Linked DNA regions of Mus musculus. The protein of the gene in region 6 purifies or fractionates together with the protein of the main gene of each other region. This does not show direct contact. Links are inferred from orthologs where the notes say so. Each region holds a gene or a part of one and is shown on either strand. Other genes may lie near its edges.

Evidence for each region.
Region 1: the proteins of Ywhae (region 6) and Abl1 purify together in Homo sapiens (affinity purification with mass spectrometry; 4 studies listed by BioGRID and IntAct, with this or other methods). This does not show direct contact. The link is inferred for Mus musculus from reciprocal best matches to the Homo sapiens genes YWHAE and ABL1.
Region 2: the proteins of Ywhae (region 6) and Rassf8 purify together in Homo sapiens (affinity purification with mass spectrometry; 3 studies listed by BioGRID and IntAct, with this or other methods). This does not show direct contact. The link is inferred for Mus musculus from reciprocal best matches to the Homo sapiens genes YWHAE and RASSF8.
Region 3: the proteins of Ywhae (region 6) and Dennd4c purify together in Homo sapiens (affinity purification with mass spectrometry; 3 studies listed by BioGRID and IntAct, with this or other methods). This does not show direct contact. The link is inferred for Mus musculus from reciprocal best matches to the Homo sapiens genes YWHAE and DENND4C.
Region 4: the proteins of Ywhae (region 6) and Pfkfb2 purify together in Homo sapiens (affinity purification with mass spectrometry; 3 studies listed by BioGRID and IntAct, with this or other methods). This does not show direct contact. The link is inferred for Mus musculus from reciprocal best matches to the Homo sapiens genes YWHAE and PFKFB2.
Region 5: the proteins of Ywhae (region 6) and Usp43 purify together in Homo sapiens (affinity purification with mass spectrometry; 3 studies listed by BioGRID and IntAct, with this or other methods). This does not show direct contact. The link is inferred for Mus musculus from reciprocal best matches to the Homo sapiens genes YWHAE and USP43.
Region 7: the proteins of Ywhae (region 6) and Nedd4l purify together in Homo sapiens (affinity purification with mass spectrometry; 3 studies listed by BioGRID and IntAct, with this or other methods). This does not show direct contact. The link is inferred for Mus musculus from reciprocal best matches to the Homo sapiens genes YWHAE and NEDD4L.

What each region holds. Positions count from the first base shown.
Region 1 is NC_000068.7:31,758,570-31,762,738, reverse strand, and holds the start of Abl1 (tyrosine-protein kinase ABL1), read right to left. Parts: upstream 2,801-4,169; 5' UTR 2,703-2,800; coding exon 2,624-2,702; intron 2,567-2,623; exon of another isoform or gene 2,348-2,566; coding exon of another isoform or gene 2,284-2,347; intron 1-2,283. UniProt on the Homo sapiens protein: Non-receptor tyrosine-protein kinase that plays a role in many key processes linked to cell growth and survival such as cytoskeleton remodeling in response to extracellular stimuli, cell motility and adhesion, receptor endocytosis, autophagy, DNA damage response and apoptosis.
Region 2 is NC_000072.6:145,745,376-145,749,586, reverse strand, and holds the start of Rassf8 (ras association domain-containing protein 8), read right to left. Parts: upstream 2,801-4,211; 5' UTR 2,621-2,800; intron 2,560-2,620; exon of another isoform or gene 1,213-2,559; intron 1-1,212.
Region 3 is NC_000070.6:86,835,555-86,839,054, reverse strand, and holds part of Dennd4c (DENN domain-containing protein 4C), read right to left. Parts: intron 2,676-3,500; coding exon 2,493-2,675; intron 1,675-2,492; coding exon 1,479-1,674; intron 1-1,478. UniProt on the Homo sapiens protein: Guanine nucleotide exchange factor (GEF) activating RAB10. Promotes the exchange of GDP to GTP, converting inactive GDP-bound RAB10 into its active GTP-bound form.
Region 4 is NC_000067.6:130,702,322-130,705,821, reverse strand, and holds part of Pfkfb2 (6-phosphofructo-2-kinase/fructose-2,6-bisphosphatase 2), read left to right. Parts: intron 1-320; coding exon 321-445; intron 446-3,383; coding exon 3,384-3,500. UniProt on the Homo sapiens protein: Synthesis and degradation of fructose 2,6-bisphosphate.
Region 5 is NC_000077.6:67,856,154-67,859,653, forward strand, and holds part of Usp43 (ubiquitin carboxyl-terminal hydrolase 43), read right to left. Parts: intron 392-3,500; coding exon 1-391. UniProt on the Homo sapiens protein: May recognize and hydrolyze the peptide bond at the C-terminal Gly of ubiquitin. Involved in the processing of poly-ubiquitin precursors as well as that of ubiquitinated proteins.
Region 6 is NC_000077.6:75,749,887-75,753,386, reverse strand, and holds part of Ywhae (14-3-3 protein epsilon), read right to left. Parts: intron 1,507-3,500; coding exon 1,307-1,506; intron 1-1,306. UniProt on the Homo sapiens protein: Adapter protein implicated in the regulation of a large spectrum of both general and specialized signaling pathways. Binds to a large number of partners, usually by recognition of a phosphoserine or phosphothreonine motif.
Region 7 is NC_000084.6:65,195,256-65,198,755, reverse strand, and holds part of Nedd4l (E3 ubiquitin-protein ligase NEDD4-like), read right to left. Parts: intron 2,842-3,500; coding exon 2,771-2,841; intron 126-2,770; coding exon 30-125; intron 1-29. UniProt on the Homo sapiens protein: E3 ubiquitin-protein ligase that mediates the polyubiquitination of lysine and cysteine residues on target proteins and is thereby implicated in the regulation of various signaling pathways including autophagy, innate immunity or DNA repair.

The DNA.
Region 1 (4,169 bases), on a different chromosome or scaffold from region 6:
TTCAGAATTTTCTTACAAGTATTTTTATGTTTGCTTAAAAAATGTTCCTGGTCCTGTTGCTTTATGAAAGCAGGTGTATTACTATTACCTGATGCAGAAAGGAAAAGACTGGTACAGTTTAGGCCCTAGCTGGGCATTTCTAAAGACAGTATTGAATGATCCATAGTGTTTTCCACGGGAGAACAATGCCACGGCAGACCAATGATCCATTATTAGCACAGACAGGCTAAGAATGGGCTTTCTGGGCCAGGTGCTGGGGTGCAAGCCTGAAATCCTAGGTGCTCAGCAGGCTGAGGCAAGAAAATGCCAAGTGCAAAGCCTGTCTCTTTACGTTTACAGATTATTGAGTTCACAGCCTGACTGGACAACTTGGCAAGTCCGTCTCAAAATTCAAAAGTTGGCAAGGGCCTATGGGTGTAGTTCAAGGCCCTGGCTTCCAATACCCAACATTCATTCTCTCTCTCTCTCTCTCTCTCTCTCTCTCTCTCTCTCTCTCTCTCTCCCTCCCTCCCTCTCTCTCTCTCTCTCCACCCCCTCTCCCCCTTTCTCTCTCTCTGTGCAATTCCCTGGAGCCAGATAGCACAAGTTCAAATCCTGGGACTACCACCTGCTGATTCTGTCATCTCAGAGATGTCACCTAACCTTTTTTGGTGCCTCAGTTTCTTATCTACAAGATGAGATAATCAGGGCCACCATAAGAAGTCAGAAAGTGAGGGCATGTGGAATGCAGACAATGCTTGGCCCACTAAGGCCATCTAACTGCTGCTGCTGTCTGTGCTGACCAGGCCTTCTCTGCACAGCAGCAGGGAGCATGCATTTGGTAATAATGGAAAATTCACCATACTCAATTCTCTTCCTGGCCTGTGAGGCCCAGGCCTCTGGGTGGGTGTCATGAACTGATTGATTGATTTAGGATGTAAGCAAGAAATGAAGGCCCAGATTACTTCCCCAGATTCTGGCAACAGCTCTCTTCCCCAGAGACAGACAGCACTTCCGTCTTCAAGACATAATTACACCGAGGCTAGCTTGATTCCGTCAGCTACACAACAAGAATTCCGTCTACCTTTTTGAACTCAGTGAACAGAAAGAGCTCCTAGAGAGACACCTTCCTGGAGAAGGCCTACAAAACCCAAGTGAGGACAGCACTCCTTTGGAACTTGGCAATGCTAGAATTCACCTTAAGGATTATGCTGGAATAAGAATGGATTTTTTCCCCCTTCTAAAACAAGAATTAAACCAACAGCTCTGCACTAAATCCCACATTACCCCAGGAACAAGCTGATACCTTAGCAAAGCTGTGACATGCCCCAACTCTGCAGTTACAAAAGTCCATTCATCTCCGCCTCCAGCGGCTCAAAATGGAGATAGTGCCTCTCACTAACTGGATACAGATGGGGAGGAGAAATGTGCGGAGAGTGTGGAGCAACTTGGAAAAAATAAGCAACGCATTAACTGAGGATGATTCTGGCCGCTCAGATGCCAACTCTGGGGACAAATAAACCATCTCCCTCCCTCTAAGTGGTAGGCCCTGAGCTCATGCCATCCACACCAAGCTCCTCTCAGGAATCCAGGCCCTGAAATCCCCGGAGGGGCTGAAATCTTACTGTGACTTATAGCGAAGTCCCTTATACTCCCTTCTAGCAAAGGGAGAACATCCTCTACCCGAGCTGGGCACCTAAGTCTGAGCTGGGTCATGTGGGGCCCTGTAGGTCTTTGAGTCAAAGACTTGGAAGGGGGGTCGGGGAAGCAGGTTAGATATTGAAAAGCCTTCAATTCTTTACAATTCAAAACAGTAGAAATCCAAATTGCTCTGAAGAAAACTTTACATTTTTACTCCTATCTTAACTCTTACATGAAACAGCCAGAAAAGCCAGGGCACCACACATCTGTGAGTGCTTCTGCCCTTCTGAAGAAGGCAGCAGTCCCCACAAAGGTCAGCTATACTCTAACAGGCCTGGCCACAGCCGAGTCCCCAGCACTCACCACTCACCCTTTTCCCTTGCCATCCTTTTAGACCCAAACACTAAAGACAACAGGAAGGAGGCATGGAATTGGAGGAGCAGGGTAAAGCAGGCAAAAGCAACAGGCTCCTGGCTCTAAGTTTATGCAAAGAACAAAACATGAGGGGCTCCCTCACCAAGCATCAAACTGGAAGCTCTCAAAACTCCTGGAAATACAAGCAAAACCATTCTTTCTCTTCTAAAAAGAGACAATCCCCAAGACCTCTTCATGGTCTGCAGAAAGGTGGGGGTGGGGGTGGAAAGTTCACATGAAATTCTGTACCCATAAATGGTAGAGCGGGATCCCTTTGTACGCGGCACTTGGTGTAGGTCCACCTTTGTGACATACAATTCCCAGTTGGCAGTGGAAACACCACAACGTGGGCTCACAAGGACCTTAAGGCCTGTGGCACTGACTTTTTCAAACTTTCTGGGCAGGAGCCACACTATGCGCTTGGGCCCCGCCAGCGCCAAAGCCGCGGCTCTCTCTCTCTTTCTGGAAGTCCGAATGAGCCACCAGCACCCGCAGAGGCCTCAGAGGGAGAAGACTGGGGACCTAGAACACACAGGGCACGGGCGGGCAGGACAGTCCTGGTGGGCCCCGCGCCCAGGCCAGGATTTACCTTCCAGGTAGCAGCTGGAGGACGAAGAGAGCCCCTTCTTGGATTTGCAGCCCACCAACTTCAAACAGATCTCCAACATGGTCCCGTGGCCACGGCGAAGGCCCCACCACCCCGGGCCCCCAGCCCCGCCAGGCCGCGCTCCCAGCAGGCCCGCGCCCAGGCCCGCGTCCCGCCTCCCGCCTCCCGCCTAGGCCGGTAACAAAGGGCCCAGCGCCCCGCCCCAGCCGTCCCTTAACCCCTTCCAGGCCAAGGGAAGGCTCCACGCCCTCCCCAGCTGCGTAGCTGCGCTGGCGTAGCCCCTGCCCCTGCCGCGTGTCCGGGAAGGTCGGTGGAAATGCAAATTCCTCTCAAGTTACCAGGACTGGTCTCGGGGAGCGACTGTGATTAAACCTAAAGTGGGTATCTGAGGAATGTGAACAGTCAGGGCTGGAACCCACAGGAATACCGAATACCGGACGCGGGTCCAACCACCCATTTAGACCTGGAGTTGTGAGTTTAAGCTTAGGGAAATGTCTCTATGGTGCGTGTTCATTGTGGGCTGGAATGGCGGTCCTTCCTGACCTCATTTTTACAAGAATTTCCCCTGTTTTTGGTGCCACAGGTAATGTTTGAATCCATTTCACGGTGAGTTTTTGTTTTCCTAAACGCTAGCTCGAGGTTACCAACAAGATTTTAACTAAGCAATGGTCACAGCAGTGGACTACTGGCACTAAGTTGGTGGGAAACAAGGACCCCAACTACAACAAATCTAATAAAAACTCACCCAAGTTCCAATGACAAGGGAAAAATAAACTTATGAAATAATGTCACATAACTAAAAGTCTGGTCCCCATCCTTGCACTTGAAGAGCTGACTGTCCCAGGATGGTTCTCTGAGAAGTGCTCCATGTGCCTTGGTACCCAGAGGGTGCGTGCACCTAATCCTGTGAGGAAAGTTATATCATGACCCAGATTCTTCATGTGAGAACAGACACTCCAGAAGGTCACATGGTGGAAACCAGAAGACTCAACTCAGTCAGGGTCTGCCTGGTTCCAAAGTTTGGTCTCTTGGCTTCTAAGCAGACTGTACCGGATAGCTAGATCCATGACAAAAGTTATCACCTGCCGGGCGTGGTGGCCCACGCCTTTAATCCCAGCACTCAGAAGGCAGAGGCAGGTGGATCTCTGAGTTCGAGGCCAGCCTGGTCTACAGAGTGAGTTCCAGGACAGCCAGGGCTATACAGAGAAACCCTGTCTCGAAAAGCAAAAGAAAAAAAAAAAAAAAACAGTGCCATGACTGTGCCTGTGACAGGCCTCTCAGCCAGGATGTCACACACTTTTCGTGCTAATCAACCCAAAAATGTGTCTGTGCCAAAAATGTGTCTGAAGCCAAGTGGACCTACTTTGCTGCCAGAACAGGCCTCACAAGTACCCAGGGGACTTTCAGAACTCACGCCATTCAATCTCCTGGAGAAAAGGACCAGAGTGCCCAGGAGGCAAGGGTACCAACTGGATACTTTCCTGATCCTGGGAGACCATTTTCTGTGAGAGCCCACATGCTGACTAGC
Region 2 (4,211 bases), on a different chromosome or scaffold from region 6:
GAGAGGTCAGAGTGGCTTGAACTAAAGGACAACATGGCAGAGCCTGAAAATCAAACAGGTTTGAGAGCTACTTTGCTGGAAAGATAGCCAGTACTTTGTGGTCAACTGTTTCTGAGAGCTGATGGACAGAAGAGAGTGCAGAGTAAGCAAGACACTTTGTTTGGATAGATGCGTTCGGAAAAGGCAAGGAAGAGTTTGCAAGTCTGGATGGCACAGACAAAGTTCCGGAGAAATGGGAGATGCTGCCATTGTAGACGAAGATGTGCCAGGCACGCCTGAGGTGCCTGTCCATCATAGCTTTCCTGATAACAGTAGTATCCCCATCTTAAAGGCAGTGAATTTAGATCACAAAGCTAGAGAAACGGGGACCATTCTTGGCTCCCTGGATGCTGACAAGTCTGGCTAGCTGCTAGGAGGCATCCCTCCCAAGTCTATAGAACACTAGGAACTACTTCTACATTAGGATATTTAGGACTGAAACAAAGTAACAGCCAAGAAGAGCCAGTAGTTGATACATTGCTCTTTAATTCAAATCCTGTATTTATAATTTCTAATGTTTCCTATCCACACCTCAACCCTATTCCACCTCCACCTAGAATGAACTTGGCCAAGTTTTGAACACTTGCAAATTTTTCTGGGACTTCAACATTTTATAAATGGACAAAGCCGGACTGCCAAAATTAACTCCAACAAAAAGAGCAATGATACCCTGCAGTAAACAATAGTTTTACTCCCAAATTCTATGAAACAACAGAAAGTCCAATAAGAAACAGGAAACCTTTTCTTAAGAAATTAACCATTTCTCAGAAAGCAAGGCACTCAGGTCAAGCACTAACATATGCCACCAAATACAAAGGCTATAAAAGTGAGCACGGAGGATTAGGATTTTAAAAGTCATAAGCTTTAAAACTCTAAAGACAAAAATGCAAAGAAAAGCAACACAACAACCCTGTATGATGCTAAATCTACAATTTCCAAACAGCTCTAAAAAAAAAAAAAATGCAGAATTCAGGTAGTGTGACCCCAGGAATGGCATGGGCACCTTCGGAACTGAGTCTCTCCAGGACACTGACACTAACTGAAAACCTTTCCTATCTGCACAGTCAGCCCCGTGACTTGGCTCCCTCTAGGGGCTCTCTGCTGTCCCCCAAAGCTCCTGTAGCCCAGAAACAGGGCTTGATGGCAAAGATCTCAGTCCATTATGGCCAATTGAGCCCGGTACGGAAAGTACCATCTTGAGACTCTTCAAGGGAGGGGTGACTGATTGGGAGGATTTTTAGAAAAGATTTAATTACCTACACTGCAAATTACACTGTGTTGAATCTGATCCTCCAGTAGAAGAATCATCAAAGCGTGTCCAGTCTTCTTAAATGGAGTATTGGCCGTGTGTACTTTTGAGGTTTAGGGGTAGCTCCCCATGGAAATATATACGATCACAAGAACCATTAACATGACCACTAGAGGATAAAGCACAAACCACTTCCCAAACTGCTAGCGCAGTTGTCCGGAGCCCTGATTCCTGGGTTTATCAGCACCCCACCCCCACCCCCACCCTGCAGTGGGCTGACATTCCCGATTGCCTCCAGCAAAGAACAGGTTTTTGGGTTTAAAAAACAAAACAGGAAAGGTGCCGGTTTTCTGTGCCTCCAAGGTACGATCACAACCCCTGGCAACCACAGATTAAAGACTTTTAAAGAAGAAAGAAAAACTACCTACACCCCCACACACATACACATACACACACACACACACACACACATACACATCCCAAAACTGGGCAGAAACGCAGAGATCACCACATATTTAATATACTTCCCTGGGACAAAACGTGTCTCATGAAAAATGGCTGAGCACCAATCTACAGTTAGGTATCTAAGTGTTCGTCCCTGCTGTCAGCGGGTTGGAGGGATTTTTTTTTTTTTTCTCCTTAACGCAAGGCTTTGATGTGTTGGCAGAGCTGACCTGACAAGCTGGAGTAGGCTAGGAAACGTGTCCTGCATATTTCCTTCTGTGCCTCCAAAGATTAGGACCAGAACTGACTGCGATTAAACCCTACCTAGGATCCAAGGGCTTGAGCCCTTGATGCTGTTCGATGCTGGGAAAGTAGTGGTTCCGCAACCCCGGGCAGCTCGGCGATGCTGAAATGAGCAACCCAGCCCCTAGCTGGTCTCCGCCGCCCACCACCGGGCCGCAGCGGCCTCGCACGCCAAGCCCCCGACCCTTAAAGTTGAGCCTCCTATGATTGCCCTCTGCAAGTTTCCAGGGTGCAGGACGCAGCCAACTTTGCAAGCCGCCTCTGGGCGACTCGCTTCCCCGGAGGGGCTGGCCACCGGGGAGGCAGGGCGGCTACGGTTCAGACAAAATGCAGAAGCCTTCCAACCGCCACTTTTCCTTTTCCAGAGGGGAAGCTCTCCCTCCAGGCGAGCATCCGATTTCCATCTGGAGAGGGAGAGGGCCGACCGCGCATTCCCCTCGCCCACAAAAGTGGCCTCTAAAGTCGCTCGCCAAGGACACCGGGAAGGAGGCGACCCCGGGCAGGGCCAACTTTCGGGAGGCGAGGTGAGGGCGCGAGGGTGACAGCGGCGCCGCGGGGGGCGCGGGCCGGGAAAGTTGTACTTACTGCGCTCGCAGCCCGTCCTCGTAGTCCCGGTGCACGGCCCTCGGCGGAGGCCCGGCCCGCCCAGGCTGAGGCGGCGGCTGAGACGGCCGCGGCCGGCGGCGGCGGAGGGCGAGCGGCGGGCCGGGGCTGAGGAGGCCGGGCCGCAGGGCGGCGCGCGGAGGGCTGAGCCGGCAGAGAGACGCGCGGGGAGGGCGCACGCCGGCCTGGCCCGGCAGGGAGGGCGGTGCGCAGCGGCGCAGAGGAGGAAGGGCGGAGGAAGGAGGGCGGGACCGATAGGGCCGCGGAGCCCCGCACAGGGGCGGGATGAGGGCCGCCGCGAGAGCGAGCCAGCCGGGGAGGCCGCGCCGGGGCAGGGAGGACGAGGTCTGGGAAGTGTGGTGGGGGGCCGAGGAGGCGGGGCGGAGGGCCTGGGCGGGTGGGGCGGAGGCCGAGGAGGCGGGGCCAAGGGCCAGGGAGGGAGGGGCGGAGGGCCAAAGAGGCAGGGCGAACGGCCCGGGAGGGCGGAGCGGAGGCCTAGGAGGCGGAGCCAAGGGCCAGGGAGGGAGGGGCGGAGGGCCGAGGAGGCGGGGCCGAGGGCCGTGATTGCAGGTGGGCAAGGGAGAGCAGGGTGCAGAGCTGGAGAGAGCTGGATGCAGGGCTGAGAGGGGGGCGGGCCGAGGGCCAGGGAGGAGGGCCAAGAGCCAGAGGCTCCGCCCCTTTTCTGGTCGCGGCGCTGGAGAGAGGAGCAGTGTTATACCCCTCACCAGCTCGGGTTACAGCGGCGGCCCCGCCTGCAGACAAGGTTCGGGACAGCGCGGTGCGGCTTTGTGGGAGGCGCTGAGGCCGGTGGGCCGGAGCCTGGCTGAGGTTAAACATTTCCTCCAGTCGCTCGCAGGCTTGGGGTCGCCAGGCCAGTGAGACCTTGCAGCTGACCGCTCTGCGTCTGCTGACAGGAAAGAAGGGAGAAACGGCCCAGCCTTTCCAAGGACTGGTTTGAATGGCTTTTCCTGTAGAATAACTGTGAATTGATGTCCACCGCAGCAACCAGTGATGACCGTTGCAAGTGAGGAGAGATTAAAAAAAAAAAAAAATGAAGTGAATGAATCGAATGTAACAAAGGTTTTAAAAGAGTTGGGATCACTGGAAAGAGGATTGTCACAAGTTCGAGGTCAGTATATGTTACCCTAGCAACAAGCAGTATCAGACCTCAAAGAGTGAATCATATATTATTACACACACACACACACACAGAGAGAGAGAGAGAGAGAGAGAGAGAGAGAGAGAGAGAGAGAGAGGCAGGAATTTTGCCAGAAATTCAAGAACAGCCTGGGCTACATTCTTTGGTTCCAGGGCATCCTGGGCTACAGAATGGGACTGTCAAAAAAGAGAAAGAAGTCTAAGTCGAGCATTCTCCAAGGCATAGTTTGGATTGCTTTTCCTGAGTAGCTGTGATTCAGCAACAGCACCCCCACCTCCCTGAGCAGCAGGCCATGATAGAGGCAACAGACAACGAGGGGAAAAAAGGCAAATGAATCAGAGGTGAGTAACAAAAGTTTAGAAAGAACTGGGCTCAGATTCAAAAAATGCACCCACACACCTTTAAAAATAGCTT
Region 3 (3,500 bases), on a different chromosome or scaffold from region 6:
CGAAGGCTCACAACCTCAAAGTAGCTATTTCAGATGCATAAAAGATATATAGACTTTGGATCTGGCAATTTTTGGCATCTAATATTTTTTATATCCAAGTTTTTCTAAAAGTTAATTTTAGAATTAAATTTAAAATTTTAAAAAGTTAAATTTAGAATAAAATTAAAACAAACAAACAAACCCTGAAGCTAACTATGTTTCTAGATTCAAATGCCAATTTGTAAGGTTGCAATCAACCAAATCAGGACTGTGGAAACCTCTCATATCTAACTGGGAGAAAAAATGGTGCCTGTAATTTAAAGACTAAGTGCCCCAACCAAGCAAGGCTGACTTTACTTTAACCTTGATGTCTAAGACCACATCGTGCCCCAGAAATACTTCTGACACAACTTTCATGATTAAAACTCTGAACAAAGACTGAATATCCTAATGATTCCCTAGTTTAGGGTATAATATTGTGATTATATTTGTTAAAGTCATCATTTACAGATACCTGCTGAAATATTTATATGTAGGATAGACATTGCTTGAAATTGCTTTTAAAATAATTTAGGTATAGAAAAGTTAATAAGGATTTTCATAAAACAATAACCAAAAAATGGCCATAAACTAAAAATTACTAAAGGTAGCTGTTGGGTCAAGAGACTTAATAAGCTGGGTACATAAGTACATACTATTTGGATGGCAGAGGCAGGAGAATATCTGTGAATTTGAGGCCAGTCTAGCCTATATTGTGAGACCTTGTCCATTTTTGAAAATTTCAATGCTAAGGTTTAAGCTGGGTGTGGTGGCTCATGCTTGTAAGCCGGCACTTGGGAGGCAGAGGCATGAGGCCCCCACACACTTGAAGTTAGTCTCATCTACATACAAAGTTCCACAACAGTCAGAGCTACACAACAAGATCATGTCTCAAAAGCCAAAACGCATGCACACAGGTACAGTTTCTGTTTGAAAACCCTTCTGTTTCTTTATAGACTTTTGGGACAGGCACACACAATCACACCTGGCAGTTTCCTATGTTCCTATGTGTCTGAGTATGTGCAGCACATGACACTGTCTCCCTCAACAGTCTCTACCTTATTTTGTGAGACAAAGTCTCTCAGTGAACCTGGAGCTCAACAATTCAGCCTGGCTGACTGACTAGCAAGTCCAGTAACCTTCCTGTCTCCATGCCCACAGTGTTTGGATTATTGGCCCGGGCCATCCCACACGGCTTCAACACTGGTGCAGGAGATCTGAGCTCCTGAGTGGTCACGCTTATGCAGCAGCATTTTAATGGTTGAGTCATCTTCCCAGCACACAGGATCTTGCCATGCAGTTCTACCAGGCTTAAAATTCACAAAGATGAATTTAATCCTCCTGTCTCCGCCTTAAGTGCCACCAAAAAAATTTGTACTTTTCACATGATACCATGGAATTGTGGGATGTTCCAAGCTATATATTACACAAGTATATGGTGTGGCTCTAACAGTACATACCACATCTTCCTGCAGACTGCTTGGAAGACTGACTGTTGAGACGCCATGAAATGGTCGCTGGGAGAAGTCGATATTCTGCAGAGGGCCTCCAACACTGTGACTTCGAGTCAAAGATACGTTTCGCTTAGATAAACTGTTAGGCACAGATGACATTTTCACACTCTGGACATCACCATTGGTTTTCTTTATTTCATCACTGAAAAAAAATGAAGCAATGCTAATCATGAAAAATTCTAGAGAGGTACAGTATTTTCTACAGTGGATTTAAATGGTCTGAATCCCCCGAGAAGGACTGGCATCTGTAAAAGATTAAGTGTGGGGCTAGAGAGATGGCTCAGCAGGAGCTCTTCCAGAGGTCCTGAGTTCAATTCCTAGCAACCACATGGTGGCTCACAACCATCTGTGATGGGATCCAATGCCCTCTTCTGGTGTACTTACATACATAAAATAAGTAAAATTGTTAAAACAAAAACAAAGCATGTACTTCTGATAGCACGGAACAATTTTATATCTATAAATAAAAGCCTTAAATGTGAAGCTGGAGGTGGGGCTCAGTGGTGGGGCACTTGTCTCCTGAGGCCTGCTCAATCTCTAACCATCTCTCCCCATGGAAGCATTAAACATTCCCCAAGCATTCTCCTAACCCTGGTCAGATGGTGACGGGTATACAAGGACATGATATTAACAAAACTGTCTATTTAGCTGTTTTATTGAACCATAACTTAATCTTTATTAAACACAATCTCTAAGAAGTACTTGTCCATGTAAGTAAATACAGATTTGCTGGGAGGCTTTTGATTTATACCAGGCTACGATCTAACTAGAAACAGATAGAATACTATTTACACTGGCAAGGGGCAGGGATGGGACAGACTGGACTTGAATTTATAATCTTCCTCATTCAGGCATGTACCACCAAGCCCAAGCATGACATCCCCATGTCTTTAGATGCAGAATGTTCACAGGAATACTGCATTTCTCTTCTTACAGTGAACTCTACGAACTCTTCAATACCTTGATTCGACTGTATAACTTGCTTCTTCTGTTATGGTCTCACTGTGTTTTGAGAAATCCATAAAGCTGATCAGGTCAGGTTCTGCTGAACTGGACGTGGGTTTGTGTTCAGAGGGCTCACTGGCTGATGGAATGCTGCCGCTTTGTAAACTGTCACCAGACGTGCTTGGTTTCAAGAAAAAGCTAAGAAAGAAAGAGAAAGGGGAAAAACGCTTAAAACAAATCTCCAAGTCTAGGTTAGCTCAGTGAGTAAACATGTTTGCCATGTAAGACTGAGATCCTGACTTGGATCCCTGGAACCCACAGTGGAAGCAGAGAAACAACTCTGGAGAAGTCGGCCTGTGACCTCCACACACACTCCTGTTTCTGCATATATACAAACACACACTCATATCTATAATATATATGTTTTGTTTTATTTTTATTTTTTATTTTGAGACACGGTTTCTTTGTGTAGCCCTGGCTATTCTTGAACTCACTCTGTATACCAGGCTGGCCTCCAATTCAGAGATCTATCTGCCTCTGCCTTAAAGATGTGAGCCACCACCACCAGGCTTACAATATATGTATTTAAAGCAGGGTCTTCTTGTGTATAGCCTTTATTGGCCTGGAATATAATATGTAGACCAGGCTGGCCTCCAATCTCTGATCTCTGTGACACCAAGTGCCTCTGCCTCCAGAGTACTGTGATTAAAGGCATGTGTGACCAATTCTCTCCGCTTAAATCCCCATGTCCTCAAATAATCATATTTAGAATCCCTGCTCTATAGTAAAACATCATTAGCTGGGAATCCCCAGGGACATGTTCCCTTCTCAGATGCACACCTCTGCTCTCCTCCCACTTTCCATCCTAAGATCTGCAAATAAGAGGGCTATGGTGCTGACTGCTGACACGATGAAAGAAAACGATGAAAAGGGAAAACAAGACATTCCCTAATTTAAAAAAAGTCACGGAGGCTGGAGTGATGGCCCAGCACTTAGGAGCACTTGCTGCTCTGCAGAGGACCT
Region 4 (3,500 bases), on a different chromosome or scaffold from region 6:
AGTAGCAATAGAGGGGAAATTAGAGCTCATTCTGTGTTCACAGGCAAATGTATAAAGGGATTTGGGCTCAGAAGCAGCATTAGCTTCATAGCTGCCTCTGTCCTTTGGCCAAAGGAAAGCACATGACTCCCCACCATCTTCCCTGTCTTGGTTGCCAGGGTCACAGGACAGGATGAGAGTGCTCAGTGACTGGGGAATGCCAGTGCTCTGGTGACAAGCTGCTTTAAGGACTTCTTTTTCTGTTCTTTAGAAGAGGCTATTTGTAGGATGGCTCTTAAGAACATAACTCTGACCAGGTCTTTATGTTGCTGTGATTTCAGGAGGTAAAAGTGTCGAGCCCTGACTACCCCGAAAGGAATAGGGAGAATGTGATGGAGGACTTCCTGAAGAGAATTGAGTGCTACAAGGTCACTTACCAGCCCCTTGACCCAGACAACTATGATAAGTAAGGTTTAACACCATGATCTGAGGGTTGAGGTGAAAGGAAAATTGTCTTTCTCTTTTGGTCTCTAATTTCTTCTGGTAATCTAAACCTATGATATTTGTATCATTTCACAGAACAGAGTTTTTTATTGTGACATTGTCTTAGTTACAATTACTATTGCTGTGATGAAACACCATGATCAAAAGCAAGTTGGGGAGGAGAGATTTTATTTGGCTTGGACTTCTACATTGTTGTCTATCTTTGTAGAAAGTCAGGACAGGAACTCAAATAGGGCAGGAATCTGGAGGCAGGAGCTGATGCAGAAGCCACAGAGAAGTGCTGTCTACTGGCTTGCTCCCCAAGGCTTGCTCAGCCTGCTTTCTTATAGAACCGAGGAGCACCAGCCCAGGGGTGACATCACCCACAACGGGCAAGACCCTCCTCCACTGATCACTAATTAAGGAAATGCCCTACAGCTCGCTTACAAAGCACTTTTATCAATTGAGAATTTTCTTTAATTCTCCTCTCAGATGACTTAAGTTTGTGTGAAGTTGACATAAAACTAGCTAGCACAAATATTTATTTGGGACATGTATTTTACTTAATCATGCTTAACCATATGTTCTTATCAGTTTTTCTGTTCGGTTGCTGTATTTTCTAGAGCAGCAATTCTTAATGTGTGGGTCCTGATCTCTTTGGGAGTTGAATGATCCTTGCACAGGAATCACATATCAGATATTCTGCATGTCAGATATTTATATTATGATTCATAACAATAGCAAAATTAATGTTATTGAAGTAGTAATGAAGATTATTTTATGCTTGGGAGTCACCACAACATGAGGAACTGTGTTAAAGGGTTGCAGCATTAGGAAGGTTGAGAACAACTGCTCTGGAGCAAGGCTTTCCATCTAAGTATTACTGAGATTTTGAACTATGGAATTCTTTGTTGAAGGGGCTGCTCTGTGTATTATAATATGTTTAGCAGTCTCCCTGGCCTCTGTCTACTTGGTGCCAGGAAAAGATCCAAGCTGTGATGACTGAAATGTTTTCAGGCACTACCAAAAGTCTCTTAGGGGCACAAATCATCTCTAGTTGAGAACCGCTGCTCCAGATTTAGCAAATTGGAACTAGAATGCTGTAGGATATCCCTTGGAGATGTGTCATCAGTTTTAATAAATTTTAAAGTTTGCCTCACTCAAGAGGAAATGTCTGATCAGTGTGAGACATCATAACAGTGAGGGCTTGCCTGGTGTGGGGTATAGTAAAATGTTATGCTGAAGGAAGAAAGCACGGAGACCTGTGGGAACATTGCCTTAGGAAATGTGTTTTGCTTTGTGTTTTTGAGACAGTGTCAAGGAATCAATGCTGGCCTTTGACTCACTGTATAACAGAGGATGACCTTAAACTCCTGGTCCTCCTGCTCCCAACTTCATAGTGCTGGGATTACTGGGTACACAGTTGTATCTTGATGAAACAATGTTATAGTCAGTAGTTTTCTCCCCATTGTGACAGAACACGTGACATAAGTTACTCAGGAGAAGTTTGTTTTGGCCCAGTGCTCAGCAGGTACAGCAACCTTGGCAGCGAAATCACAGGAGCAGGCCTGTCTTCCTCCCACAGGCTGCTGCTTGTTCATACCTCAGAGGCTCAAGTAGCAGGAAAGTTGTGCTCACCCAGCTTTCTCTTTCCTCTTCCCCCATTTTCTGATTCAAGATCTCAGTGTCCTAGGATAACCTTGAACTCAGAGTAGTCCTGCCTCTGCCTCCTAAGTACTGAGAGATGTGAGGCTCCATGCCTGGCTCCATTTTCTCCTATTCAGTCCACGACCTTCTAGGCCATAAGACGATGCTGTCCACAGTCAGGGCGAGGGTTCCTCCCTCATTTGGTCTTCTGTGGAAACACCATCACAGACATACCCAGAGGTGTGCACCCCTGATTTCCTAGGCATTGCTTACTTAGTCCAGCCAAGCTGATGATTGAGAGCAGCATGTAGGACATTTAATAAGACATGGTAGACAAGCACAGTGTTAAGTTATTGCAGTCAGCCCATTCATGTTTACAACTTTGCATTTCCTTCAAATGGATTTCCCAGAATACTTGTATTTAGATTTCTAAATACTCGTTTTTAGAAACATTTCCATAATAATGGCTGAAAGGCACTGCCCCAGATATGACATAAAGAGGTATCTTTAGTTTGCTCTAAGTCCTGTGTAGGAAAGCATTCTAGAGGGATATTCATATTTATATGTATGTATGTATGTTTGAAGGGTTTTATCTCTGATGGGAGATCCATAATGAGTTACCTTGTTGTGTCTTTTTTCCTTGGTCATTATTTTGAATGAGCTCTTATTTAAATTTAAGAAAAACCCCATGGCTATAAAGCAGATAGTTTGCAGTGGTGTTTTTGAGAAAGGTTGACTAGGTGTCAGAGGGTATAGCAGGCATCCTTAGAGTGAGTGTGTGCTTTGTTTTCTCCTCTCCTCCCCCTGAGTTGCCATGTTCTGTCTAGATTTTGACCATGTCATGGGGGCCCCAGATGTCTCACAAAAGTTTGAATTTAGCAAAATCTTCAAGTCACTTAGAAAAGCCTGAAATTTTATTTTCCACACTTAGATAAGCTACATGACACAGGTTGGACACTGAAGAAATAGTACATTCTTACTGGAGATTCAAGAAATTGTATTTCATTTTGGTTTGGAGATGTACTGTCTCTTAGCATTTGGTTCCATAAACGTGGCAGTGATGAGGGAGAGAGGACAAATTGATGAGGTCGTACAAGTCAGTATTCAAATCATTCTCTCTAGACTTGTTTGTCTTGAGAGCATCAGACTGGAGCCCCCTCCACCTTAGGCTCCTAAGTGCAGGTGCTGATAGCCTTGCCGCCCCCCCCCCCCACCTCACACCTACTTTACTTTTAGATTTTCTTACCATGAAATGTCCTCCTCCCCTGCCCCAGGGATCTTTCTTTCATAAAGGTGATAAATGTAGGCCAGAGATTCCTGGTCAACAGAGTTCAGGACTACATCCAGAGTAAGATTGTCTACTACCTGATGAATATCCACGTCCATCCTCG
Region 5 (3,500 bases), about 7.9 Mb from region 6:
CTGTCATCTAAAGACCCCAGGGCTGGATGGTGGTTGAGGTGGCATGAGGAAAGGGGCACCCCAGTTGTTCCTTGCCCAATGGCTCGACCGCTGTCTTCACTTTTAGCAGGAAGGGTGCCATCTGACCTCGGTGACGCTGAAGTCTCTTCCCCACCAGCAGCACGAGTCAAGAGCGGCACAATGGACTGGCTGGTAGAACGGGGTCTTCTTCTGGACTCTAGGTATTCCACCAGTTCAACGGATGCCCCGGGACGTTTCTCCCTGTGTCCAAATGACCACCTCAGGGGCATGGTCTTGAAGGGCCCATGCCTGGATCGGGAAGCAGGAGATGCCTTCATGCTGATACTTCGGCCACCAACACCCCGAACCAAAGGTCTGGTCTCAACTCCTCCTGAAAAAGACATGAAGACCATGAGCACCTGCTAAGGGATATATGCCCTGCCAGCCTTCAAGCAATGGTGTATCTGGGCAGATACATAATCAGGTCTGGGTACAGTGACCATAGCACAAGCGAGATACACAGGGGTCCTGCCTTTCAGGGCCACCAACAGTTTCATCCATGATCTCATAGAATTCATGTACACATTAAAAACCTACAGGGGAAGCCACAGGCCAAGAAGACAGCCTTTTTTGACATCCATAGGGGATTGCTCCTAGGATCTTCTGTGGGTGTGCAAGTCCCCTCTAATACAATAGCATGCGTAGTCTTCCATGGACTTTACGGGATTTCTAGATTATTTATGATACTGACACAAAGCAAATGCTATGTAAACAATTGTCATGCTATGTCCCTTAGGAAGTAATCACAAGAAAAAATATCTGTGCATTTTTAGTAGATATTCTTCACCCTCCCCAGACGTTGTCCCCGCCACCTCCTGAACCTGCCTGCAGTTGACTGAATCAGCAGATAAGAAAATGATGCTGAGGGCTGACTACATCCACGTGCCCTACAGCCAGACCACCGAGGGGTTCACTGAGTCAGCTGCCCTGAGGTCTAACATTATTATCATCTATCTTTAACTATGTCTAAGGACAGAATGTTTACCAAATGTCTCTTAAATTGGGTCAAAACTGGGTACTTCTACTTTAAAATGAAAGGATGTCTGTCACATATCCCATACTGAGCCCAAAAGAAAACAAAGTAACTGTAGGCTTCATTTTATCCAATTTACCAGTGCTGCCTTTGTGTCTTATTGTAGTTTGCAATTGCCTGTAAATAGCTGGGAAAGTGGTTTTGGTATATAGTCTTAAGTGAGTAGGTTAGAATCCTACAAGGCACTGTGATTCAACTTGCAGACACGCACACGCATGCACACAGACACAGACACACACAATGTACTATGCATGCATGTGAAGACGGACATACACAGCAGGTTAGAGAAACGGATTCTCAAAGTGATGAAATGGGGAGGGGCTGAGAGTGTTGCTACTTCATTACTTACTTTCCTAATTCTTTTCTACAGCTCGGCCCTTCTAAAAAGAACATACGGTGATCAGCATCCAGTGCCCTTCCCAAGTGGTGTTACCATCGCCACACTGCCGGGACTGCTTGGCGCCTGACATGCGCTGCCCCTACTCCATGTAGGCTGCGTGCTAGTCGGTCAAGTACATAAGCACGGTGCTGGCGACCACAGCTGGCTGCTGACCATAGGCTGCTCATGGAGTTTAGAGTGTTATCATCGGCCGAAGCTTACATCCCTCCCAGTCCTTAAGTCGAAACTCTAACCCCAAGGTCATAGCTTTAAAACAGTGTCCTTATCAGAAGAGGTAGGAAGAACCAGAGTTCTGACTGCATCAAAGAAGAGGACTCACCATAACCCAACCTAACTACCCCCCGATTCCATCCTGCAGAGCCATGAGGAATAAACTTCTGTCACTGGTAAGACCCCAGCGTATTTCTGTTACAACAGTCCCAGAGGTCTATGACAGACACTGACTTTAAAGATAGTCAAGGACTTTGGCCACAAAACACCCATGTGGGGATGTCCTGAGATTCTCAGGCACACAGGTGTGAGGTCAAGGAGAGCAAAAGTCACAGCGAATGCTGGGATAAGAATCTAAGTGCACAAGGACACTTAGTCTGCCCAGCAGCTGAGAAAGCAGCCCCCAGGGGGAGGGGAAAAGTACGGAACCAGCCTCAGGCAGATGGCAGAGAGGATTCATGGGGCTCTCGCCTGTCGGGGGTTTCACATGCCATTTTTGATATCTTTTTCTTTAGAGCTTTTCTTTAGACTGGCTAGGAATAGACCTAATTCCACCCAAAATACTTTGTCATTTCAGTTTGCATTGACCTTGTGGCTCCGCCATTCAATCCCCACACCTGGGGAAAGATAAAACACAGCTCTGGAGGCTGGGGTGTGTGTGAAGTTTTCTTGTTCCTCGTCCACCGCCCTGAGAAGGGCAGAGAGGGAAGCTTTGCATCAGGAGGACAAAGCTGTGGCTTCTCGCCCTTCACCAGGTGGAGTGGCCTGGAGCCCTGGCAGGGAGCGAGAGGACCTGGTTGCTGCCGTAAATAACTACTTTTCCCTTCTTCCTGGTGTGGAAGGGCCCTGGGCCAGGGCTGACAGCAACCCACAGGACACACACCCAAAGGACCCCTTCAGCTTGCCTCTTTTTGGACAAAAAGCACCCTTTATTTCTTTTCATCTATTTATCGCCCCGTAACAGGATCTGAGGGAGTGGGGACGGAGAACCTTAGATAAACTGAGAAGTAAATGGTATAAGCAGAGAGAAAAAGCAGCAGGTACCCTTACGGGCATTGCTCACTACCAAGCAGCCCGCCTCTTCTCCAGCCTTTCCTCTGGGAGATGGGTCATCTGGGAGCGTGGAAGGAGACTGGGATCCAGGGAGCCTGAGAGCCACAAAGGAGCTAGTCTTTTTTGTTTTTTTTTTTTTTTTTAAAAACATTTATTTATTTTTATTCTATGTGTGTCTGTCTCTACATATATGTGTACTGTGTGAGAGTCTGGTGCCTGCCTGCATAGGTCAGAGAAGGGTGTCAGTCCCTTGGAACTGGAGTTACAGATAGGTGTGAGCAGCCACGTCATTGCTGCGAACTGAACCCAGGTCCTTGGCAAGAACAAACATTCTTAACCACGGAGCCACCTCTTTCTCCAGCCCAAGGTGTACAGTCTTAAGCTGCATCTTCTTAGAGGTTGGAGACACCCTGCAAAAGACAGTCACCTTCTCAGGCCCTACAGGACCCCTCTGTGGTGGGTCCTTGGTCTGCTGAGGCATACAGCCTCCAACCAACCATAGGGCGGCTGCTCCAAGAGATGCCTCCTCTGTTCCCGTCTGCGTACAGACACCTTGATTCTCAAGTCACTTCTGTTCCTTGGGCCAGTGATGTGATCTCCAAATTGAGGTCACACCGTGCTGCTGGCAGGAGCCTTAGGGCCTCTTCTCCCCATCCTTAGTTCATCTTCAATGGGTCAAGTACTTTCAATATCCCTAAGGGTTTCCATCACATCTTAACATCCACCCATTAATTTATCCCAAAA
Region 6 (3,500 bases):
TTAAGCCCAAAGCCTTATTCATGCTGGGCAAAAGTTCTACCCTGCACTAGTAAGTAGGCCCCCATTTTTGAATATACATACACTTACAGCCCATCTGAAATAACTTCAGAAATTCTTTCTTTAGAGAAAGTTAAAAGTCCCAATAATCGTCATTATTAAAAAACAAAAAAACAGAGTGAGTCTCCATAAAGACAGTAATTCAGTTTCATTAGTATTTATACCCCATTATTTATTACACAGAGGCACACAAATTGGGAAGATGGCTCAGTGGGTAGGGTGTTTATAGCCAAGGCTTCAGTTCAAGCTCTGAGCCACACATAATATAGAAAGACCAACTCCCACAGTTGTCCTCATCTCCACATGTGCACAATAGCAACCCCCCCTCCCCCCCGGGGCACATACACAAATAAATGTAAAAACTGAAGTTGTCCTATGTGTTCACTCAAGTAGACAATGAAGTACTTTACAATAGCCAAAGAAAAAGCAACAGTTCCATTTGTTCTTTATGTGTTGTTCAAAACTCAGCTGAGTTGAACACAGCTCAGTGGCAGTGTACACCCCAAGCCTAATCCTGAGTACTGCACCTCCCTGTGGGATATCTTCCCCCTGTGCAACTTCTAAAACAAGCAGTTCTTTGCTTATATCCCAAAATACTCTCTAGACTGTAATTTCTAATCAAGATTAAATAAAAGCTAAAAATGCAAGATACATTTACATATATACTTATGTAGTTTGTATTAAGTGGTGACCTAAAATTATAAAGCTATAGGCCTGCGATTTTGCCAGATACTCACAAGAAACAAGTCTCCTTTCTCCACCAGGTATTAAATATGAACATAAAAGGCAACAATTCAGGTAAAAGACACCCTGTTACTTCTGTCACAAATGTTACTGTTTCTGGACACTACTTTGGCTTGGATGTCTTCTATCCTGGATGTCTTCTATCCTGGCTCAACATAAAAGCAGTTTTGCTATCAGACATGTATGTACCCTGCCACTGCCATCCAAAATGCCCAATAAGAGATTCAATATTACTTCAATCCTATGAGCAAAATAAACCTGTTCTCTATGTAAGTTAATCACTTTTAACAGAGATACAGAAATTAATGGTACTAAAACTGCAAATTAACTCAATGCCACCTATATTTGAGAAGTAATCTATTTCCAGTACTAGAGATCTGACACCTTCTTCTGGCTTTCAAGGGTACCAGGCACACACATGATACAGAGATAGGTAAGACAAAATGCCCATATATACTCAACAAAACAAAACACGGTACCGTATCAAAACAGTTAACAATCTCACCATTTGCCGGTACTCCCGAATCATCTTTAATTTGTCCTCTCCTCCCTTGTTTTCTTCCTTCTGTTCAATGCTGCTGATTATTCTCCAGGATGCTCTTCTGGCTCCAATCACATTTTTATATGCAACAGATAAAAGGTTTCGTTCTTCAACTGTCAGCTCCACGTCCATCCCTGCTACTTTCTTCATTGATTCCACCATTTCTATGCAGGAAATGGTAAAAGGAGACTATAGATTTAACAAGTTTTGTTGACCCATCCCTTTCATGGTTATCTTTTTCCCCCTGCAAAGCTAATAGAAAACAAGAGATAATTAGGGGGCTAGAAATCCAGAGGTGGGAGGCTGATGCAGGAAGATTGCCTTAAGTTCAAAATCCACTATGAGCTACAAAAGTATGGGACCAACCAAAGCTACAGAGGAAGATCCTGTCTGGCCCAGCCAGAACACAAAAGCCCTGGGTTTAATCTGGAGCACATATCCTTTCCAATTAAAAATAACTTTATAATCATCAAATGAGTCAAGTCAAGCAATGGGGAGGGGAAGAGTGCATATGCACGCCTGCAATCTCAGAAGGCAAAGCCATCAATGAGATGCCAGGGAACCTAGTCTAAATTAAATAAGCTATGGAACAGTGGCTCTTGCCTATAACCTTAGCACCAAGCGCTCAAACAGGATTTCTCTAAGTTTGAGGACTGCCTATATTGGGGGGAGGGGGTGAAACGACCCATTCTGAATTCCTCTGCTGGTATAAATTTGAGCAACTATTATTTGTTACCACTAGATGGCAAGCAAAGAAAAGAGGCCCAATAATCTGAGATATTCTAAGTGTAGCAAAAAAAAAAAAAAAGAGTAATAACAGTTTATGAATAACAATGGAAAAACTGAAAACGTAGTAAATATACTGAGTACCTACGATAAGAGGTAAAAAGTGGTTTTGCAAAGGTCTATTACCAACTAGATCTTTAGATTTACTGATTCAGAATCCCTAGTGTTAAGAAGCAAGAATCTATACTTTAACAAGCAGAGACATACAGAAATACCCTGAAAGTATACATTAGTGAACAGCTATCACACAGTGAATTAAGCTATATTAAGCCAAATAAAATAGTTCATGCTGCAATTGTAACCCCTGCAACTAGAAATGCTAGTTAGAAGCTGTCTCATAAAAATTAGTGTGCTTTCCAAATTAGCAACCTGAGTTTTATGTTTCAAAGTCTACCTCTTTACAGCTGCTGAAATGATTGGGCCCAGGTCAGTTAAGCTAGATAAGCACTTAACCTTTAAGCTATGCCCAGCTCAGCTCCCCGCTGTGATTTTGGTCTGCATTTCCATTCCATCTTCTTTCTAGTTGCTTTTTAATTGTTCTGACTGCCCTCTGGTGGGATAAACTGTAATCAGATATTTGATGGAGCCACCTAATTCTTCAATGACCAGTATGAGTCACTTATTTTTAAAATCCCAATAAATTCAGGCCCTTCATCTTTAAAATTTTCTATTCCTTTATGCAACAGACTAAGGGACAGCAAGCAGCATCATGAATCCAAGGCCTAATCTTCCTCTGAATGTCTACAGTGCGTTATTGAAGCCCTCCGTGTAAGTCATCATTATTCTCTTAATATCACCAATGGAAGCATAACCCTAACCAGGGTTCCTCAAAGCTTTGCACAAAAGCTGCCTGATCCAATTCTGGACCAACATGGTCATTCAAGGACTCCCACTCATCTATTAACATAAAATTCTTCACTAAACATGTCTAACATTTCATAAAATCTTTGCAGCAGATGTGACCAAAATTCCAGGAGATCCAAGGCTGGCTATGCAAAGAAGCGCTGTCTCAAAAAGACAAAACAAAAATCCAAAGCAGAGACAGAACATTAATATGACTTTAAATAGAATTAAATTTAAATAGAATTTTGACTGGTTATGGTTTTCTATGATTAATGGTAAATAATAATGTATCTACTTGAAAAGGGAACTTAGATGCTTTTCAAAAAAAGCTCCTGTACTCACTTAAACCTATTAGATAGTAACTACCATTGGGATGAGGACTGGCAAGATAGCTCCTTGGGTAAGAGCACTGCCAGATGTCTGGCAACCTGATCTCTAGAAGCCATGGTAAAAGCCGAGAACTGACTCCACAAAGTTGTCTGACATCTCCATGCACACATGTGCACACACACATCCACACCTTATTCAT
Region 7 (3,500 bases), on a different chromosome or scaffold from region 6:
AGCCACAGGAGCTGGACGAACCCACATACCTGCCCAAAGTTCTCTTCGTCTATGCAGAACATGAGGTCAAGTTCCGTGGGGTCGTTTTCTAAGATCCACTTCAAAGAGTTGTAGTACTCGCTGTCCTATCGGAATGACATAGAAAGGAACGTGAGAATTTTAAAATCTGTCTGGCTCCTTTATGAATAAATTCATTCTAATGTAATTCTATGCCCAATGTCCAAGGGCGATGCTACTCAGGGAGTCTGCTCTAACAAAACCACTTCCCGCTTACTTACTTAGATTTTATTTTGTGTCTGTGTACTTGTGTGTGTGTGTGTATGTGTGCCCATGTGTTCAGGTGAGAGCCTCAGGAGCTGGTGTTATAGGTGGCTGGTTGTTGGCCACGCTAGGAACCTAATTCCTAGGCCTTCTACAAGAGCAGCATGCACTCTTAACCACTGAGTCATCTCTCGAGCCCCATCTTCCCACTAATGTAAAACACAAGATCTGTGGAAAGTGACTTCCCCTGATCTCTACTGTGAAGGCCACCTGCTTGGGAGGGGAGTTAGAGCAGCTGGAGAGTTAAGGGGTCTTGTTTGGGAACCCCACAGTGGTCTCCAACTCCTCTTCCTGACCCAGCATCCAGGAGCTGGGATTATAGCCTGGCTACGCGTTGTTTGTGGCCACAGCATGCCTGTCTCAGGTCCACACAGAATTTAACACACCGACTTCCTGTCTTCTCAGAGTCTACTATCAGAGACCACGTAGGACAGTGTTCTAACTAAACACCATACATTTTTGTGCTCTGTCCTTTCCTGTTTCTTCAGTGTTCTTTGCCCATTAATTTAAGTAAAAAGCAGAGCTGTGTTTTAGAAGAGAGTAGCCATGAGGCTATCAGGTCCCTTCTGCTCATGCCCAAAGTCTCCATTGCTAGGAATATGACAGGCTCAAAGGAGACCGAAAATTATATGCACATCACATTTAAAACACAAATGCTCTGCTGGGAGAGCAGAGATGGCTCAGCAGTTAAGAATGTGCGCTGCTCTTTGGGGGATCCAAGGTTGATCCTTGGCACCCACCCTGGGTAGCTCACAAGCACCTGTAACACCAGCTCCAGGGAAACTCTGATGCCCCTGGTCTCTATGGGCACCGGTGCTCATTGGCATGTGCCACTCCCCTAATACATAGTAATTAAAATAACAAAATAATAACAAGCTCCCCCAAACACTAGTGGCCGATAGGAACCACAGACTTGGGCGTTAAGAACAATTTCCAGCAGCATAGTGTTGAACACCTAGAGTCCCAACACTTGAGTAGAGGCCGGAGGACTGTGTGTTCTAAGCCAAGCTAGACCCCATACACAGTGATAATCCTCTCTTGACCCCCTTCCTTCACTGAGGGTTGGGAGCGCACAGAAGCAATTTCTGTGCTCTTAGACTCCTCAGAATGGCACAGCAGAAGCAGAAAGCATTGACAAAGGGGAGGCTCGAAGGGAAACTGAGACTGAGCTGAGATTACAGACGCCAGCCAGTCTGCAGAGGTCACAGAGGTCCAGAGTGCAATAGTCGTCTCTCGCCTCCCGCAGCACCGAGCAGAAACACAGTGAGCTCTAGCTGGCATCATGGGCATCGCTTACATTCACAGCTCTGCCCAAGACACACACGGTCCATATGCCAGCGGGGCCAAGGGATGCACAGCTTTCTAACTCAAGTGACCACATGAAAACAGAGCTGTAATTCTTCTACAAGAACAAAAATGTAGCTAGTACACACAGGCCAGTGTGCGTGTGTACACTTATGTATATGTACAGGAGCACATACACATACAAACACACATACACACACATATACACGCACAGATACACACTTATACACACATACACACACATGCACACACAAACATACACATATACATACACAAACATACACACATACATACACGCACACATACACATACATACATATACACACACATATACACATACACACTCACACAGACTCACACATACACACACATGCACACACAAACATACACACACGTACACACATGCATATACACACAAACACACATACACACACAAACATACACACATACATACACGCACACATGTACATACATACATATACACACACATATACACATACACACTCACACAGACTCACACACATACACTACAGAGTATACATAAATAGAGAAAGCCAGACATTCAAGTGTCCTCTGAAAAGAAGGACATGTTTTGTTTCGTAGATCTTTCCTGGCCAAGGACAGTCAGTCCAGGTAAGCAGCAAGCACGGGGCCCTGTGAGGGCCAGCCTGTCTAACACTCATCCCACGCTCCCATTCTGCAGCTGTCACTAATTCCTGTGTCGAGACGACCATGTCTAGATGACTATTGTTTTGGCCTTGCCTCCACCACTTCTATGAAGGCATAAAACAGAAGGTGGAATCTTGTCACACTGTAGATGGGGAGCAAGGCTACGGCGGGCTTCAGGTGCCCCTCAGGTTTAATCTGCTCATCAAGTCTCAGTTCGTTAAGTGGGAATTGAGACTTAGGCGTACCGACCTTAAGTACCATGTTTTTTCAGAAACCAACCATAATTTGCTTATTATAGAAATCAGGAGATCAATTAAATTTCAAGCAAGCGATTCCTCCCTCTTGTTCATGTGAAGTACCTATGTTCCGCAGGACTGTACCTATGACAACAGCTGTGACTGCAAACACAGCTCCTGACACCGTGCACAGGGTGAGGCAGCCTGTGACGGCTACAGGACGCACTGCTTTTACTCACCACGGACTCCATGTCGTTCAGCGTTATCTGCTTCCCCAGCATCATCTTGTAGAATGGTCGAATGAAGAATCCTGAAATATGGCAAAAACTTGGTTGAGTTTTAAGCCCCTGATACCCCTAAGTATCTGCAAAGGGAATCAAAGAATGAACTGCTTTCCATGTAAATGGGAGGTCGGGACTGAATGGCCAAGGACCTGGTGCAGTAACCCATGAGCAAGTGAGGTTTGAGTCCTCAATTCTCATGTCCTGGAGTTCTGTATTTCCTCTTAAGGACGGCTTTTGTTCTGTCTTCTTCAGAAGACACTCTAGGGCTAAGGCCTTAGCTGAGTGATAATGTTACTCTGAAATCATTAAAAACTGATTTGGGGGAAAATGGAGCAATAGCAGGCTGCTGGCGGATGAGATCATTTTAATTAACTTTACAATTAAAATTTCCATCTGTCAGCTGGATCAAGCTCTCAGCAGAGGAAAGCTGTCCTGAAAAACTCATGGAACAACTTATTCGTCACACTTAACAGTTACACATATGAGCATAGATAGATGCTTTGTCTTCAGTGCTCAAGACTATATCAGAAGTTACCACGGTTAGGGGGAAAACAGCAACCAGCATACTGTAGGCTGGGGCTCTGAGTCAGGGAGGGAGACACTGGGTTCAACCTCCTGAGGAAAACCAGCTACAGAAAACCCGTGACACCCTTACTATCCACACGTGGGCTCAGACACTGGACTG